4 linked regions of the Arabidopsis thaliana genome follow. The protein of the gene in region 3 binds, or shares a complex with, the protein of the main gene of each other region. Each region holds a gene or a part of one and is shown on either strand. Other genes may lie near its edges.

Region 1 (3,924 bases), on a different chromosome or scaffold from region 3:
AGGAGGAGCTGAAGGCGGAAGAGCGGTAACCGGAGGAGGAGGAGGAGGAGGAGGGAGCGATGTGGAATTGGTGAGCAAGACGTTGCAAGTGGAGCATAAGCTATTCTATTTTGATCTTAAGGAGAATCCTCGTGGAAGGTATCTAAAGATATCGGAGAAGACGTCGGCGACGAGGTCAACCATCATTGTTCCTTCCTCCGGCATCTCTTGGTTCCTTGATCTCTTCAACTACTATGTCAATTCTGAGGAACACGAGCTTTTTAGCAAAGAATTGCAGCTTGATTCCAAGGTTTCAACTTTATCATCACTCTCTTCTGGCGATCGTTGACTTTTCCACTCTCTTTAATTTCTGCTGTTGTTGCTTTATTCAGGTGTTTTACTTCGATATCGGTGAGAACAGAAGAGGACGCTTCTTGAAGGTAGAAATTTTTCTGTTTTACTTAATGAATCTGAAGTTTTTTTTCTTTGGTATATGTGAATTGAAGATTTAGGGAGTACTAGACTTATGGTTAGGAATGTTCTTTTCATTTTGGTTATGTGACTAATTATCCTGAGGTATCAGAAGTTGTAGGAATGTTCTGATGGGTTTTGGTGTGGTGTTAGGTGTCAGAAGCATCGGTTAGTAGAAATCGAAGTACCATTATTGTTCCAGCTGGAAGCTCTCCTGATGAAGGATGGGCAGCTTTCAGGAATATATTGGCTGAGATACATGAAGCATCAGGACTTTTTGTGATGCCAAATCAGGTGGTATTATCGTCTCCTTTGATTGAAAAGCCTTTAACTAAGTTCTCTGGTCTCATTGTATCTTCGTTTTGGAAACAGAAACCTTCTGATGGACAGGAACACTTGGTTGATGATGTTGGAGCTGGTTTTATACCTGGACATGGTAGTCAGCAGCCATCTTCTTCAGAACATAATGTGGATCGAACAATTGACTCGCCAGGCCAGGAAGAAACCGGAATGACTGGTGTTTCTAAAGTAATCAGAGCTGACCAGAAACGGTTCTTCTTTGATCTTGGGAACAATAACAGGGGCCATTTCTTAAGGATATCTGAGGTAATCTTGGAAGAACAATCTTTTGCTGGCTTATCTCTTGAGAGCTTGTATTTACCATGGTTTTAACATTAAAGCATTTCTCAATATAGGTGGCAGGTTCTGACAGGTCTTCCATCATTCTACCGTTATCGGGTCTTAAGCAGTTTCACGAAGTAATTGGTCACTTTGTGGAGATCACCAAAGATAAAATTGAAGGTATGACAGGTGCAAATGTCAGGACAGTTGATCCTCCTCAGAGATAAGTATTGATTCTCTTAGAGGATGGAAATTTTCAATCCTCTAACCATTTGAATCTGGCAACTTCAAGTCGACTGCCTGATCGCGGTGTGCAATAGTTTCACGTAATATCTCTCGCCCCTTCACATCTTCTAAAAATAATTCAGCAGGATCATCATTTGCCTTAATAGTAGATAAAACAAACTTTGGAGTCTGCAACTGGGAATAAGCTGAAAATCATCCACCATGTGTATCTCTCTCTCTCTCTCTCTCTCTCCCTCCCTCCCTCATTTGCTTCTGTTCTGTTTTAACTTTTTTTGTTTTTGTTCAGTTTGGGTCATTGGGTGTATATCTGTTGACGGCTTGATGCATTTCAATTGTAAAAGAATATTGGGGTTTATATGTTTGGGCTAATGCCTGTTGGAATAAAAGATGAAGTGTAAGTTCTATACATGAGTTACGAATTCTTTTTGGTTTTGTCTGAAAATGATTTAGTTCTACTACCAGAGGTTCTAAGAGCAGTTGCGAATTGTATATACTGTCCTAAGCATGCTTTGGTTAGACAAAAATTTCGATTTTTAGGTTAATCGAAAATGCCTCAATAATAAAAAAAAAAGAAAAAGAAATCAACGTTGCGTATAAAACAAGGGAGAAGATAAAAAAACAGCGTTTGTAAATAAAAAACAAAAACCCTAAAAAAAGGAGCAACTTTGGGCACAGTCCGAGAGAGAGAAAAAAATAAAAAATAATCTGTCGGTGATTTATAACCTCCTCTCTAATAAACCACCACATCCTCTGAAACCCTAGCCTGAACAACTCGCCGTCTTCTCGAGAAACATCTTTCTTACTTCGCTTCATTACAAGGTTCGAATCCAGCTGTCTCTCTTAGTATTTGTCTATGTATCTGTCGAGTTTCTCTGTTTTCATTGATTTATGTAAAATCAGAAGGTTTTGGTTTTTGTAAGTGATTCATTTGTTTTGTGTTAAATCTATTGCAGATCTGATGAAACCAGATCGGATCTTGCTCTAGATCCAGATGCTCCTTAACTTATTTACTCGAATTCATCATCATCGTTATCATCACCATGTCACTGTTTCTAAAAGACGATTCGATTCAAATCCGTGAAGTATGGAACGACAATCTCGAATCAGAGATGGCTCTGATTCGAGAAGTCGTAGACGATTTCCCATTCGTAGCGATGGACACAGAGTTCCCAGGAATCGTGTGTAGACCAGTGGGAACATTCAAAACCAACACAGAGTACCACTACGAAACTCTCAAAACAAACGTCAACATACTCAAGATGATTCAGCTTGGACTCACTTTCTCTGATGAGAAAGGTAACCTCCCAACTTGTGGAACAGACAACAAGTATTGCATCTGGCAGTTCAATTTCCGCGAATTCGACCTCGAATCCGATATCTACGCTACCGATTCGATCGAGCTTCTTCGTCAATCAGGCATCGATTTCGTGAAAAACAACGAATTCGGTATCGATTCGAAGCGGTTCGCTGAGCTTTTGATGTCTTCAGGGATTGTGTTGAATGAAAACGTTCATTGGGTTACATTCCACAGCGGATACGATTTCGGTTACTTGTTGAAGCTATTGACTTGTCAGAATCTTCCCGAGACGCAAACAGGGTTCTTCGAGATGATCAGTGTGTATTTCCCGAGGGTTTATGATATCAAACACTTGATGAAGTTCTGTAATAGTCTTCATGGAGGTCTGAATAAATTGGCGGAGCTGCTTGATGTTGAGAGAGTTGGGATTTGTCACCAGGCCGGATCGGATAGCTTGTTAACGTCGTGTACATTCAGGAAGCTGCAGGAGAATTTCTTCATTGGTTCAATGGAGAAGTATTCTGGTGTTTTGTATGGTTTAGGTGTTGAGAATGGTCAGATTGTTCATTGATAAAAGCTTAAAGTTTTAAACAGGTTATGTTATTTATTTTAGATTATTACATCATAGGTTGTTTTAAGAAGTGTATGATCACAAGAACTAAACTCTGATTTTGGTTTGGTATTGTGCTCTCTTACTTGTTTAAAGATAGCATCTCACTTAATTTATGAAAAAAAAAGTTTGATATATGTCCTTTTTCATCATATCTTAAAGATATTATCAAAGGTATACGTATTTGGCCTATTAATAAAATTTCACAATGTGTTAAAAGACTTAAAGGACAACATAAATTGTGGATTCTGTGAAGTGTTTAAACATTAAAGATGAAAATTGGGAAAGATTAAACAAACGACAGCGTTTTTTAAAAGGACCCAGATATTGAAGGAATGGCCCAGTAAAGCCCATTAAAGTAGAGCCCAGGTTCGTGACAAATCTGTTAAAATCGTATAATTCAGGGTTCGTAAAACCCTAATATATAACTTCGCTACTCATTTTTTGCTCTTCGTTGCAGCCTCTCTCTCTTTAAGGTTAGTCTCTTACTCACTTTTGCGTAGTTCCTCACTGAAAATTGATCTGTGTTCATGTATGTGATTGTCTTACTTTGTTCATCTTCCTCCGATTTGGTTGTGTAATTTCGATTTATGTATTTATTGAGACTGATTTGCTTCATTTCCTTGGCAGATTTGGAAAAGACCTTTGCTTCTCTTCGTTCGGAAAACCAGCTCAAAGATTCAATATGTCAGGGTAAGTT
Region 2 (3,644 bases), on a different chromosome or scaffold from region 3:
GAACACGGTAGTTGATGAATCACCGTCTAAGAGGTTGATCACTGTCAATGAGATGACCCATTCTATGATCCTAGGGCGGTAAGAGATTATGTGATGAAACCTGTAGAGTGAATGTGTGTTTGATTGTTCACGAAAGGAATCAGTTTTCGAATGTATATAACTTAACCTTTCATGCTTTTTGTAAAAGATTTTTCACTTAAGTAAATAGAGAAAATTACTATAGATGAGCTTCCAATTTGGTTGACCAATGATTTACTATAGAGTTTGCATTTCCAGTTGTTCTCCAGCAGAATTGTCTAATCTTGTGAGGAGCTTATCTGCAGAGCCAAATGAGCTCATAATTTTGGGTTTCCATTGGTTAGATACTATCATATCCTCATAGTATAAAAGTAGAATTAGTCAATGCCTTAAATCTAAATAAGGGAGCCATGATTGAATTTGCACGTATTAAAAGTGAAGAAGAAACTCAAGTCCACAGGAGAAAAGTGTGACACTCCAACCAAAACAACTCATAATTGGTACTAACAAAATATTTCACATAGATTCCAAATTTTGATTAGTGTATAGCGAAAAAGGAAAAAACTGGGCTTGTTACATATCTTCAGCTCAATTCGGAGGAAACTGATAGATAGTAATTCCAAGACAAAGATGTTACATGAGAGGCTTTTGAGTAGATTCTAACTTTAGATTCATTAAAGTATTTACTAAAGAGCAATAGTCATAATATTGAGAGAATTGTTTTGATGGACAATAAAAGCTGAAAGTTAAATCCTAAGCATATAAAGAAAGAATTTGCATACTAGCAACAAGACATGCTAAACATTGAGGGATCACAATACGTAGTTCCTTCCTTGGACCGGTATCGGGATGTAACATCTAGTCATCATAAGCTGTTGCTGATGCTGCTGCTGCTCTAGTTGATATTGCTGATCATCAGCTCTTCTTCCAGTACTCTCCTTTCTACTATTGACCAAATCGAAAATCAACTTAGTGAAGACACGAGCCGTCAATTCGCTGTCTGATCCAGCGTGATGAGCTTTTCCAACACGCCTCATCTGCAACACATCCGCTATTCTCTGTAGTCCGAAACGGCTACTTAGTCCGCTGCATAATCCAGCCATTTTCTTCACATCATAAACAAACCTTCCCAAAAGCTGCTGGACGGTTTCATCAAACTCTTTCGAAGTCTCGGGTAATGGTTTTCTAGTTAAACCTTTAAGTAGATAAGCTTTGTCGTAAGAGCCTTGAAAAGTCACCCATCTCATTTTTCCATGTTTCTCATTGAGAATCTGAGAAAACTCCATGAAGAACTCTTCGATTCCAATACCTTCTTCTCTGATCTTATCCAGATCCAAACCATTGTTTTTTAAAAACGCTATAGATTTATCATTTTTCAAGCTCTTAGATTCGTTGAAATCTGACAAGTTGATCTCCCAGGTTTTAGTGATTCCTTTGCCGAATAGCGTTAACCCTAACTGGATGAGATGGGTGTTGTCCACATTGAATTTCATGTCTCTATAACGAATTTCATCACTTGCGTCCATGGGAGTCTCCTTTAAGCATCCGGGAAACTCTGTGTCGATAGCGATGGAATTACAATGTTTCAAACAATCTCTTATCGAATTCATCTCTGCTTGCTTGTTCCATCTCCAAACTTCACCGCTCATCTCGAACGAAACTAAGAAACTGTTTGTTTATCTGAAAGAGAAAGTGAGATAACAAATGAATTTTATTTGGTTGGCGTTATATTATTAGAGAATTTATAGGGATTAGATTAAGACACCGACTTCAGTTTCCTTATTTTTAGGATACTATAAAGTTTTCATTTTTTTTCCATCAAAAGTTCGTGTTGACTTTTTTGACTCCTAATTCTTGTTAAACACGAGTTTTCAATTTTTCTCTTAAAATTCAAAAACAAAAAAACGCGTGGTTCCGAAGCGGTTTTCAATTTTTAACACTAAACCGAATTAAATTCCTTGCCCGAACCGAATTAAATTCTAATTTCTCTCTCAAAACTCAAAAGCCTTGTTTCCGAAGCGGTTTACGATTTCAACGCTAAACCGAATTAAATTCCTATTACAAATTAAAGTCTAATTTTCCATCCCGAAATACACGAAATTGACAAAAGACTTTATTTTAAGTCTTCCCGGAAGGTTCTTCTCTGGGTTAGTGGCTTGACGACACAAGTCAAGCAACCTGTCATACACTGACACAAGTCAATCTTGACTGTTGAATTATTCGGCTGCTTTTGGATAGTGACAGTTAAGCCCATATGGTTGGAGTACGAATCAATCGATTGGGGTCATTAAGGTCTTCAAGACATCACCGAAGCTCTGACTTTTTGTTATGCACTGCAAGTGTTCGAGGAAATGCCTAAACGAGATAATTCATAGTCTGCAGTTCAAGAAAAATATAGGTTCTTCTGGGCCTAACAAGCTAGTAAGGACTGGAACAATGAAAACGTTGCGTATCTGATACGGTAATGACTTCTTCGTGCCAATGTATCTATCATGTATTTATTAAATAATGCATATTTTTGGAAAATAAGTAAAGTAGTTCTGACAAGACACAGTGTTTTTTTTTTCCCCGGCTCTCTTGCTTCATACACACTAATCCAAAAAAGATAGTTATTGGAGAAAGAAAAAAACAAACAAACGGGGACGATGAGGATCACGTTCTTTGCTTCTTTGCTCTTATTTACCAATACCATCTTTATAAGTTTTAGCTTTGCAATTGCAGGGATAAACAAAGAGAGTCCTTTGTCAATAGGACAAACTCTCAGCTCCTCTAATGGAGTTTATGAATTGGGTTTCTTCAGTTTTAATAACTCGGAAAATCATTATCTTGGAATCTGGTTCAAGGGAATCATTCCCCGGGTGGTTGTGTGGGTGGCCAATAGAGAAAATCCTGTTACAGATTCCACAGCAAATCTCGCTATCAGCAGCAACGCAAGTCTTCTGTTATATAATGGAAAACATGGCGTTGCATGGTCCAGTGGTGAAACTCTTGCTTCTAACGGGTCTCGTGCAGAGCTTTCAGACACCGGAAATCTTATTGTCATAGACAATTTTTCGGGAAGAACTCTTTGGCAAAGCTTTGACCATCTTGGTGATACTATGCTTCCTTTCTCAGCTCTGATGTATAACCTCGCCACTGGCGAGAAGCAGGTCTTGACTTCTTGGAAAAGTTACACTAATCCAGCGGTTGGTGACTTTGTGCTTCAGATTACAACGCAAGTGCCAACACAAGCTTTAACTATGAGAGGCTCGAAGCCTTATTGGAGAAGCGGTCCATGGGCTAAAACAAGGTTCACGGGGGTACCACTAATGGATGATTCATTTACAAATCCATTAAGCCTTTAGCAAGATGCAAACGGGTCAGGATCCCTTACTTATTTAAACAGAAACTTCAAACTTCCACGTATAGTGATAACATCGAAGGGTTCACTGGAGATTTCTAGGCATAGTGGGACTGATTGGGTATTGAACTTTGTGGCTCCAGCGCACTCATGTGATTATTACGGTGTATGTGGACCTTTTGGGATTTGTGTCAAGTCAGTGTGTAAATGCTTCAAAGGGTTTATACCAAAATATATTGAGGAGTGGAAAAGAGGAAATTGGACTGATGGTTGTGTGAGGCGTACC
Region 3 (5,513 bases):
GAGAAAAATAAATGCTGCGGAGAGAGTCACGCCAGAATTGCTGCGGTTATAAAAGCCACATCAATTATTTATCATCCTGTTAAAATATTTGGATTCACATTATCATCGATCGGTAAAAAAACTTTATGGTTGGATATTATATTTTATATATACAAAAATAAATTAAATAAGAAGTCTTAATCTGGATTTATCATATGATTCCCAACATAGCGTTACATTTATACCGAATCAAATAAAAATTTAGACAAATGTAATTTGAGAATTGTGTTTATTTGTTATTGGCACCGAAAGAAGAATTTGTACTTTGTAGAATTCAACACAAAACTATAGCATAGTGTCTGTAGTCTGTACGGACGAGAGTAGAAACTGTAGAAGATAGGGATTTGACCTACTAAATATTTTAATACAAGTCTACAAGCGATTATCCAATATTAAGCTCCTAGAGATGTGTGACTACAGAGTACTTAAGTGTTTATTTATTGCAATGACCTTTGGATACAAAGTACTCCTATATTGTTAACCAATTCACTTTTAATTTTTTTTACGTGACCAAAGCTAAGATCTTATCTAGAAAACTAAAAGCTTTCTGTCCTTTTGTTATATTCGGGCTTCAAAACTTTGTACCTTCTTCTTACCATCGCTGTCGAGAGAAAAGTCAGCAGAAGTTTTGGAAACTATTAGTTATAGGGATCGAATTATCTTAATCATCTACGATCATGTCATTTTGTGTTGGATATTTGTTAATGCTTGTACATTTCTAAAAAAACATGTGTTGTATATTAGCTAATGTCAATATGTGGTGCATATTTGCTAAGTTGCCGTGGAAATAACAAAAACTTAAAATTTTGCTAAGTACTGTACTTTTTTTTTTTTGTGATTGCAATTTGCTTAAGGTGATTGATGAACGAAGGCTATATGTAAAAACTGGAAAGGAGTGAATCAATGTGAGAAGTGGGTGAGTTGTTACTTCGTTAGAAGAGAGATTTGGGTTTATTTCGCTTTCCCTGAATTAATGGTAACGCACCCTTTTGGCTTTGGTTGTTGCGTGTCATTTATTTCTCTTTTGTTTTTAATCTTGTTATATCCATTTTCTTATACCTACTTTACTTTTTTTCCATAAAATGAGATTATGCAATTCAATCAGTAATGTTTTAAATCGCATACACTTTTATATTTAACAATATGCCTTCACTAATTTGTATTTCAAGATTAGTTAGTGATATTTTATAGTAAAGTTTAAAGAACATTATAATGTAGACGCAATCATAGAGTTTTTCTTTGTCAAAGGCAATATTGCAACAAAAAAAAAGGTAGAAACGAAGACATTTTTTTTTTTGTGTGTGTAATCAGTAATCGCCTTACACAAAAAGACATATACTTTTTTGTGTAAGGTTTTTTTTTTTTGAGCTACTATCACTAAATTTGAAATCAAATAATTGATACTCCAATAAAAGTAGAAATAATATCATAGTATATGAAAAAACAAAAAAAAATTACAAGGACGATGAAAGAAAAAACAAAATCTCATAACTCAAAATCAAATATCATCTCCAAGTTCTTAACATGATAAAACTAGACTAAAATAAAAACTGACATCCTACTAAAATTAGAAACAAAATGACATAAATTGAAATCAAACTCACAAAAAAAAACAATAGACATTAAAACAAAAAATCCGAATAACAAAAAACAGGATCTCAGCTAAACAAGGCCTGGTGTAGTATACTAGTATTGGCCCATGGCCCATGGTTTGGTATTTTTTTTTCTCTGACCAAAGGAAGAAAAAAAAAAAGATATTTATCCGTATGGCGCCAAGAGGTTTGTGTGGTTTTCGATTTCATCCAAATTTCTGAATTTCGTCTCTAACATCCACAAAATCGAATGCGTTGTGTGAATCGCGTTGATTGTTCTTGGTCACGGCCAAGCGAAGCTTACCGTATCTTACCCTCCGGTGGTCACCTTTCATCTGGATTCCATCAATGTCCTTTATCGTCTCTATCTTTCCGTTCCTCTTTCGTGTGTTGCTCCTCCTCCACATCTGGACCGTCCGATTCAAATCCCGAATCATCTTCAAATCGCTCTTACAGCCGTAGATGGCAGAATCCTCTTCCCCGGCGTCAACATCCCGATCAAATACCGTCTTCTCAGATTGCTCGTGATTGGATCGATTCAGATACAACTCCAGTTTCTCAAGGTAGTTTAATAATGATCTTATGGAAAAACTCTGCTCTTACTTATGAATTTGTGAACTAGTTAGGATTTAGTAAATTAGAGATATTAGTAATAGCTTGAGTTACTGTTTGTCCATGAAGCTTGTGAAATTGTGGATGCCTTTGGATCTTACTAGTGTGTCTCTATGTAATATTAGCTTTAGAGAGATTCACTGTAGTGTCGTACAACATATTGGGAGATGGAAATTCATCATATCACAGAGAGTTGTACTCCAATGTGTCTGTTCCTTACCTCAAGTGGGGCTACCGCAAAAGGTTGATATGCGAAGAACTCATTCGTCTCAATCCAGACATAATCTCTATGCAGGTAATGAACTTTACCTTGTTTTATATCGTGTTAAGATAGTTAAGTTGATTTTGTTTGTGGACCTTTGTAGGAAGTAGATAAATATTTTGATCTATTCAGTATGATGGAGAAAGCTGGATATGCTGGCTCCTATAAGGTTGATGTATTTCCTTGTTCAATGAAAAATTTTATGCTTATAAGATTAATGGGGTAAAATGTAAGACATGGTTTGTCGGTTGGTTTTATTTACCTTTTCGTCTGAAGCCTCAACAAAAGTTGTGTTTATATAGAAGGACTACAAATATAAGCTTTGCAATGGCAGCGGCGAACTGGAGATAACGTCGATGGTTGCGCAATGTTTTGGAAGGCTGACAGGTAGCACATATTGTTTGACTCAATCTGTATTAGTGTGAAGAAAAACGACTACTACAACTCAGCATTGTTTAAGATTTATCTTGTTTTCAAAAGGTTTGGAGTTTTGGAGAGGGAAAACATTGAGTTTAGCCAGTTTGGTATGCGGGATAATGTTGCACAGCTTGCTGTTCTTGAGGTAGAAATTTTTTTTGAATGTTTTACGAACTTCTTTTTTCATGTATATGCTTTGACTGATCCAGTTTTTTTTTGGGTTTCCCGTCAGCTCCGGAAGTCTAATAAGTCAAGAAAGATACTGCTGGGTAACATTCACGTGCTTTATAATCCAAATCAAGGAGATGTGAAGCTGGGTCAGGTAAGCCTCGACATTTCAATTTGTATATCCGCTACACGAGCAATTGACTGTCATGAAAGTTTACAAAATGTTGATCTGGCCCTTTCACCTTTGGCTTTAAGACTTCAGGAAATTGTACTGAATCTCAGTCAAGAGATGTTTACTAGCATTAGTTTAAATATCTAAGACAAGTCTAAGTTACTAGTATATGTCATGACATGTTCATTAGTATATGTCCTAATGCTCATGAAAACGTATTGAATTCGTGGCTTATGTTTTTTCTTGAGTTCCTGATTTGCCTTGTTCTTGACTGATAGGTCCGTTCACTCTGCTCAAAGGCTCACTTGCTCTCTAAGAAATGGGGTGACATTCCCATTGTTCTATGCGGAGATTTCAATAGCACTCCCAAGGTACGTATCTTTTCAAATAAACTCTTCCACTTTGGTTTGTGTATTTGTTTATTCATTGTTTGAGTTTATCTTATTACGTGTAGAGTCCATTGTACAACTTCTTGGCGTCCTCTGAGGTATGACTATTCATAGTTTTGCTTCAGTCAAACTACACTGTGTCCTCTTGTAGTTTCTTTAAATAGGATTATGCTTCTATCTTACAGCTGAATGTCATGGAACATGACAAAAAAGAGCTGTCCGGCCAGAAAAATTGTCGTCCTACCAAAGTTCTTGAAACTGGTAGCAAATCCAGTAATACAATAACTTTCAGGTAAGATTGTTTTTTGAAGATTTAATCAGTTCTGTGAATGGTTGTCTTGTGACTGCCTGCTGGAATAGCCATTGTGTTCACACACTAGTAGAAGTTTTTGTAGCTCTTGGACAAAAGAAGAGATCCGTGTCGCAACCGGGCAAGAGAACTCGTACTGGGCTGCGCATCCTCTGAAACTCAATAGCTCATACGCCTCAGTTAAGGTAACAAACAAAGCTTTAATGTCCCTGTCTATATATGACAAGACCTTAAATTTGCTCATGAACATGGTACACAACAGGGCTCAGCAAATACCAGGGACTCTGTTGGTGAACCTCTAGCAACCTCATATCACTCGAAATTTCTCGGAACGGTTGATTATCTCTGGTAAAACATTCTAAACACAACCAAAACTCAAATGGACAAATTTAATATTTGGCTGATGAAGTAACTAATTAGAAATACATGTGTGGTCTGGTTAAGGTACTCTGATGGTCTTTTACCTGCAAGAGTTCTTGACACACTTCCTATTGATGTTCTATGCAAAACCAAAGGCCTTCCTTGTCAAGTATGTCTTTCTATCAAACAGTTTAGATTTGGTGAGGTCATTTCTATGATTGATGCTTAAAGCCTTATTCGTCTTTGGTTTGCAGGAATTGGGAAGCGATCACTTGGCTCTTGTTTCTGAATTTGTCTTTGAACCGGACGGTTAAAGGCATCTAGTGCCAGCTTAGTTTTCTTTGAACCGAACCGTTATAAATGTGTTTTTATTAAATGTATAAGCGTACCGAAATTACCTGATCATGGTTCTATATCAAACCGACTTCTCGATAAATAAATAAAAATTGAGACGATCAGAAGCTTCAATCTTGTGTGCGTATTGGGTCACTAGGATATTAAATCGACTTCTTCGAACGTAATTTAAAGTGAGAGAACCAGTTTACTTGATTCTGGATCTAAACCGAAGCGGACATAAGCTTGGTTTAAATGTACCAAAAAGAAAGAATTGAACCAATTGGTACGGTTCTAATCTTGGTTCCGGTAAAATGAAAAGGAATTCTAAAGAGATTGAGAGCTGTAAAGTTGGAATCGAAGGAAGAAGAGACAAGAGAAAGTGAGGAAATTAATGGCGTTGAGCTCAATGACATGGGGTTACGCACGGATCATAGCTGGAACACTTCTCGGCGGGGCCCTCGGATTCTACGTAATGCATCGCATCGAAGTTAGCTACAAGGTCTGTTTCTTCTCTCTGTCTTCCTATGAGAAAGCTTGTGCTCGACCTTAGACTGTTGGGTTTTACGCAGATGAGGATGGAGGAAGCGTTGAATCAATACGAGAAGGATATGCAGAAGAGACAAGAAGAAGAAAATCTTATTCAGATCAATGAAGAATCTGTTTAGCTTATTTCTTGGTAGCATGCCTTCAAAGTGTTCGATGAAATGCCCAACAGATGTTTGATGCTGTTTTGACTTTTTTTCTCTCATGTATTTTTCGGTTTGGTTTGGTCTGGCATTATGAAAATGTTTCATTTGTCTTTGGTTTAATAACTATATACCATGATGGTGGACCAGAGAAGCAGCCATATTGAGCA
Region 4 (5,307 bases), on a different chromosome or scaffold from region 3:
CTTATTCTTCTTCCTCTTAATTACCTCGAAAAGCCTGGAACCGGAAGTAAGCTTGGGACATATATAGTAGCAACCAGGACCACCAATTGAAGACTCCATAGAAGAGTAACATTCAACTTTCGGGCATTCTTATGTCTCTCCCACAACGTAGATGCTAATTGACCTAGTTACAAAGTGACGAATATATAGCAGAATCTTACCATTGTTCTCAATGAAGTGACTTGGATATATTGGAAACTTGGGAAGTTGAGCTATAGAAACTGTCATTAACCTACTCCAATGCTTCTTCATCAGTATATCTTACCTGCTAAGTGCGGTTCACGTAACAAAGAAAGATGATCTCCACGGAAAATCCCTAAAGAAAGAGAATCTTTCCACTGGATCCCGATGGATGAGTGATGAAGAGACTCGAACAAGGTCTCAAATCTCTCTTTTGAGAAATCGAAACTTTGTATCGAAACGGTACCGTAGATATTATAACCTATCCAATAAGGAGTTCCTCCTATACACACACTTGACAATGGTAGTCGAAAGAACCCATGGAAGGTTTTATCAACAACAACAACCTTCCAACAATCAGATTTGAAATCGTAGATTTCAACACTTAAATTATTAGGACACCGAAACCTAACCATTTTGTAATCATTACAACCACTTGGTGACTCGTTACTAATGTATCCAAGACCATATGCATCGATGGAATGGTCAAACTCAAAGCTATAGCCACATTTGATCCATCTTGCTTCTTTCAACAACGGATTGGAAACTAAAATTTTGGTTCCCATGACCATTAGCAATAGACCATCACAATGAAACATGTTGTGCTCCAATAAATCCGAAGATGAAAGCGGTTTAAAAACCTGAAAATTTAAACTAGGTTTGTTGTTGAAATCCATACCGATACAAGAAATTGTTGAGCACAATGGAGAAACTGTGGCCGGAACGTAATTGAAGACTGTGAATATCGGTTCAAGACCATGCATGTGAGACATGTGCTTGTTGACGAATATCGGTTCTGTGATTAGTGTTTTCCATTGCTTGCATGTCCTCTACCAAATTAGTTTGTAGTATGTCCTTTACCAAATTAGTTTGTAGTATTATATTTGGGTTTGTTATTTTCAATTTAGGGTATATATTTTTATTATTAAAAACTTTTTTGATTCAATTTAATATTAGATTAATGTTTGCTCTCATTTTTATTTGGGGGATTGATACAAATAGTAATAAAAAAAACTTTATTATTTAATTAATTTATAGAGGATTAAAAATTTTATATGCTATTTTGGAAATTTCAAAAAAAAGGTGTCATTTTTTGGAATAATAAAGTTTTTTAGTGTCATTTACGTCAATCCCCTTGTTATATTAATATTGGTGTGAAGCTTTTTGGGAAATATATCTATAATTTCTCATCTTATAAAGTTTTATGCTCAAGTGAGTGTTAGTATGGAAATTTTTAATTCGCAATAGTGTATATTGGTCCGTAATGGTGAATTAGTTAAATATCGATTAATTAGATTTTAGTCTGGTACACAACCATTTATAGACTAAATATCTGACAGTAAATGATTTAGAAACTCATACTAACTTATATAGTTATATATATAGGTGCTTTGGGAATTTTTGAAAATTTTGGGTTTTGGATTTTGACGTTGATTTCGATTGGATTTTTATTTGTTGGAAAGTAAATGAACCTACTAATGACCTATTTTTGGTTCTAAAGTTCCAATAAATAAAATGAAGGCTCACTAACTACTTTAATATAAAGACAGGGAGCAAATGATAATTATCGAATTCTTCACTATTTTATTTGAAAACCCACAAGAGTTTCTTCAATCTAAAGCCAAATTGGGTTAAGTCAATTGTTGTCACTATAGATGTTTAGTTCTACAACTCTGCATCATCTTCCTCGTCCGAATCTTCTTCTTCCCAGGTGGGTTTCTTCGTTTCTGTATCAATCAATATACAGTTTCATTTTCTGTAATCTCAAGTTTCGTATTTAGTAATGCAACTAAATTGATCGTCTCTGTTCATTGTCATTGGGCAATTTCGTTGAGGAATACAATTTGTTTAGAAATTTCTCATCTTTATATTGGAACCAATCCTCTAGAATCTCGAATTTATCTGGGCTGTAATTGAAATTTTATGGGGAATTAAATCAGCTTCTTAATTTTGACCTAAATATTGATGTTCAAGGATTGTTTTTTTTCCTGACCCTTTGATTCAACAGCTCTCGTGTCTGCAGGAAAGTTATTTCGAGAAGAATGAGTACGAATCCTGCAATTGAACCAAAAGTTCGCAAATTTGAATCTGTTGAAGGAGTTGATATTGGTTCAAGAAATAAATCCGATGGTTTTTTTGCTATTCCTCTTTACTTATCAAAGCTTGTGGCTTTATATAACTGTATAAGTTTAAGTAGAATTGGTACTAGTAATGAGAATTTTGTGTTTTCAGGTATCAGATTCCGTCTTGTTTCATATAACATATTAGCTCAGGTAAGAAATAATCAAGCTTTTTAATCTCTCATATGCTTTGTGATATTTTGTAGCTTAATATTTGGACGAATTTTGTAGTTTTAAACGATCTTACGAATTTCTGAGCTTGATTTATAGATACAGACAGTTCTTTTAGCTCTTTCCTTTGTTGAGTTTCTTATCTATTTGAGCTTTATATTTCTTGTAGGTTTATGTGAAGAGTGCACTTCTCCCACACTCTCCACCTGCCTGTCTCAAGTAATTATTTTTCTCTACATTTCTCAGTTTCGAGATCAAATTTACTTATACTAGTCAAGAGTTCTTTCTGTGAGTTGTGTAATCAATGGCCTGGAGTATAGTCAAGATTTGCTTCAGAAAACAACAATGGATTCTATGAATGTTTAGGAACTTAGCTATAAGCAGGCAATATTGTGTTTGGTCTTACCCACGTTAATTATCCATTACCCAATATGTACTTTGGATTTAGCGATATATTAACTTTGTTAAAATATTAGGGAATGGTGCTTCTTAAAGGGTTATGGTTTTGTAGTAAATGTGACTTGGTCTTCCTTTTCTTGTGTTGCAGATGGAAAGCTCGTTCACATGCAATTCTCAGCGTTCTCAAAAATCTCCAGGCTGATTTCTTTTGTCTGCAGGTACTTTATTCTTGTGAAAACTTCTTCTTTTGTGTTTAGGTAGTATTGAGATACCCTTTTCGTATGAAACACAAAATTCATTCTTCTCTTTTGTTCAATCCATTAGACAAGCTCAGGCCTGTAAAAATGTTAGTGTTGTTTGTTCATAGGGCCTTTGAATTGTGTTTAACAAAAGGGTGTCTCCACTTGTTAGTTATATAGTTGCAATGCTCGCAGGAAGTAGATGAGTACGATAGCTTTTACAGAAATAACATGGACTCTCTGGGATATTCTGGGATTTATATTCAGAGAACCGGCCAGAGGAAGCGTGATGGTTGTGCAATCTTCTACAAGCCAAGCTGGTATGATAAAAACATTAAGCCTGACAAGACGTTAACTTAATGCAAAAACATCAATCTGATTGAAACAACACTCTTCTTTTGATTTAGTGCAGAGTTAGTCACAAAGGAACGGATCGAATATAATGATCTTGTGGACTCAATAAAAGCAGATAGTGTTTCCTGCAGCGAACAGAAGATTGAGACATCCAACGAAGGAAAAGGTGATGAGAAAGCGAAAGATAAATTTGTCCTTTTGGAGGAAAAGAAAGCAAATACTTTGTGCTGTTTCTTTATATCTCAACATCATTACTAACTTTTATCTATGTTCTCTTCACATGTTTCCACAAATCTGCCCCAAACAAAAGATTCTCGAAAAGACAGTCGTGACCTTAATGATCCACTAGTGAGACTAAAACGTGATTGCGTTGGAATAATGGCTGCTTTTAGGATCAACAAGCCGTTTCAGCATATCGTTATCGTGGCAAACACACATCTTTACTGGTAAAAATACTTGTCACCGATTGAAGATTATCTTTTACCACCCTTTAAACTTTCATCTCATGTTTACTTATCTCTAGGGACCCTGAATTGGCTGATGTCAAGCTTGCTCAAGCCAAGTATCTACTGTCACGACTAGCTCAGTTCAAAACACTAATATCAGATGAATTTGAGTGCACACCTTCATTGCTACTAGCTGGCGACTTCAATTCAATTCCTGGGGATATGGTTTGATTCAGTTTCTTACATTGAGTTTCCCTAATTGTTCAATCTATTTGCAAAATCAAAAGATTGGGTTTACGGTGGTAAAATCCTGATACTTGTCGTCGTTTTCCAGGTTTATAGTTACCTAGTATCGGGTAATGCTAAACCCACAGAGACCATAGAAGAAGAAGAAGCTCCAGTTCCTCTGTCTAGTGTCTATGAAGTCACAAGAGGAGAGCCTAAGTTCACAAATTGCACTCCTGGCTTCACAAACACACTTGACTACATCTTCATCTCTCCTTCAGACTTCATTAAACCTGTGAGTATCCTTCAACTACCTGAGCCGGATTCTCCAGATGTTGTCGGTTTCTTACCGAATCATCATCACCCGAGTGATCATTTACCTATAGGAGCTGAGTTTGAGATTCGTCGGGAATAGGAAGTTTCGTTCTTTAGAAAGTTTTGTCGCATAACTCCATTGTTTCAGCATTTGAATATGGTTCTTGTAGAAATCATGAAGCAGTGAATCATACACACACAACACAAAGTATTAAAGGACTTGGATCATTTTTGTCTCAATAAACTCGAAATTTTCGTTGTGTGCATTGAATTACTGAGAATATTTGAATTTTCTTGAGAAGAAATTGTTTAATGTGTCTTGTTTATTGCACTCATAAAATAACATAAGAATTGGTTCTATTATTCTGTAGTCAACTAGACAAAAACAATAGAAGATTTAGTGAAATGACATGTTAATATCATATGATGATCTCGTTTCAATTTGTTGAATAAAGTTGCAACAAAATTAGGTCAAGCATTGATCTGTTTTATCTATCAACCACTAAAGTTTGTACTATCGCACCAACTTATAATAATAAATCATAATTTTGAGTACGAACGAATATTCTTTTACAGTCTCACCTTTCACCGATAATTTGAACCATTGTTATTGAATAAAGTCGTACTCTTCAAACTTTTATCCAAAATGACAGTGATGTAATGTTATGTTCCAAAAACATAAGATTTTTTCAAAACGGATAGTGATCATTCCTTTGAATATATAATCACAAACAACCGAACAAAAATATTATATTTTCTATGCTTATTATATGTTCTTATAAATAAATATCATTTAGCATAAGCTTCCCTTGAGAACCT

What was found.
Region 1: AT3G18500 (region 3) and AT2G32070 share a complex: the UniProt entries of both Arabidopsis thaliana proteins name them as parts of the CCR4-NOT complex.
Region 2: AT3G18500 (region 3) and AT1G61470 share a complex: the UniProt entries of both Arabidopsis thaliana proteins name them as parts of the CCR4-NOT complex.
Region 4: AT3G18500 (region 3) and AT1G31500 share a complex: the UniProt entries of both Arabidopsis thaliana proteins name them as parts of the CCR4-NOT complex.

Annotation. Positions count from the first base shown.
Region 1 is NC_003071.7:13,640,090-13,644,013, reverse strand, and holds AT2G32070 (Polynucleotidyl transferase, ribonuclease H-like superfamily protein), read left to right. Parts: upstream 1-1,953; 5' UTR 1,954-2,136; intron 2,137-2,270; 5' UTR 2,271-2,357; coding exon 2,358-3,185; 3' UTR 3,186-3,420; downstream 3,421-3,924. Other genes in the region: PUR ALPHA-1 (purin-rich alpha 1), read left to right, coding at 1-289, 372-419, 604-747, 823-1,056, 1,146-1,298; AT2G32060 (Ribosomal protein L7Ae/L30e/S12e/Gadd45 family protein), read left to right, coding at 3,910-3,917. UniProt on the Arabidopsis thaliana protein: Ubiquitous transcription factor required for a diverse set of processes. It is a component of the CCR4 complex involved in the control of gene expression.
Region 2 is NC_003070.9:22,676,208-22,679,851, reverse strand, and holds AT1G61470 (Polynucleotidyl transferase, ribonuclease H-like superfamily protein), read right to left. Parts: upstream 1,761-3,644; 5' UTR 1,668-1,760; coding exon 831-1,667; 3' UTR 550-830; downstream 1-549. Other genes in the region: AT1G61475 (ATP binding / protein kinase), read left to right, coding at 1-82; AT1G61460 (G-type lectin S-receptor-like Serine/Threonine-kinase), read left to right, coding at 2,664-3,307, 3,404-3,644. UniProt on the Arabidopsis thaliana protein: Ubiquitous transcription factor required for a diverse set of processes. It is a component of the CCR4 complex involved in the control of gene expression.
Region 3 is NC_003074.8:6,350,663-6,356,175, forward strand, and holds AT3G18500 (DNAse I-like superfamily protein), read left to right. Parts: upstream 1-1,809; 5' UTR 1,810-1,881; coding exon 1,882-2,194; intron 2,195-2,368; coding exon 2,369-2,538; intron 2,539-2,608; coding exon 2,609-2,674; intron 2,675-2,839; coding exon 2,840-2,892; intron 2,893-2,985; coding exon 2,986-3,067; intron 3,068-3,154; coding exon 3,155-3,244; intron 3,245-3,540; coding exon 3,541-3,633; intron 3,634-3,716; coding exon 3,717-3,749; intron 3,750-3,836; coding exon 3,837-3,943; intron 3,944-4,034; coding exon 4,035-4,146; intron 4,147-4,223; coding exon 4,224-4,309; intron 4,310-4,405; coding exon 4,406-4,490; intron 4,491-4,575; coding exon 4,576-4,635; 3' UTR 4,636-4,784; downstream 4,785-5,513. Other genes in the region: AT3G18510 (ATP-dependent helicase/nuclease subunit), read left to right, coding at 5,049-5,156, 5,227-5,322. UniProt on the Arabidopsis thaliana protein: Acts as a catalytic component of the CCR4-NOT core complex, which in the nucleus seems to be a general transcription factor, and in the cytoplasm the major mRNA deadenylase involved in mRNA turnover.
Region 4 is NC_003070.9:11,273,102-11,278,408, reverse strand, and holds AT1G31500 (DNAse I-like superfamily protein), read left to right. Parts: upstream 1-1,780; 5' UTR 1,781-1,874; coding exon 1,875-1,930; exon of another isoform or gene 1,931-1,934; intron 1,935-2,227; coding exon 2,228-2,492; intron 2,493-2,679; coding exon 2,680-2,729; intron 2,730-3,057; coding exon 3,058-3,127; intron 3,128-3,343; coding exon 3,344-3,468; intron 3,469-3,555; coding exon 3,556-3,668; intron 3,669-3,812; coding exon 3,813-3,948; intron 3,949-4,025; coding exon 4,026-4,173; coding exon of another isoform or gene 4,174-4,179; exon of another isoform or gene 4,180-4,282; coding exon 4,283-4,588; 3' UTR 4,589-4,807; downstream 4,808-5,307. Other genes in the region: AT1G31510 (F-box associated ubiquitination effector family protein), read right to left, coding at 1-128, 201-260, 305-992. UniProt on the Arabidopsis thaliana protein: Acts as a catalytic component of the CCR4-NOT core complex, which in the nucleus seems to be a general transcription factor, and in the cytoplasm the major mRNA deadenylase involved in mRNA turnover.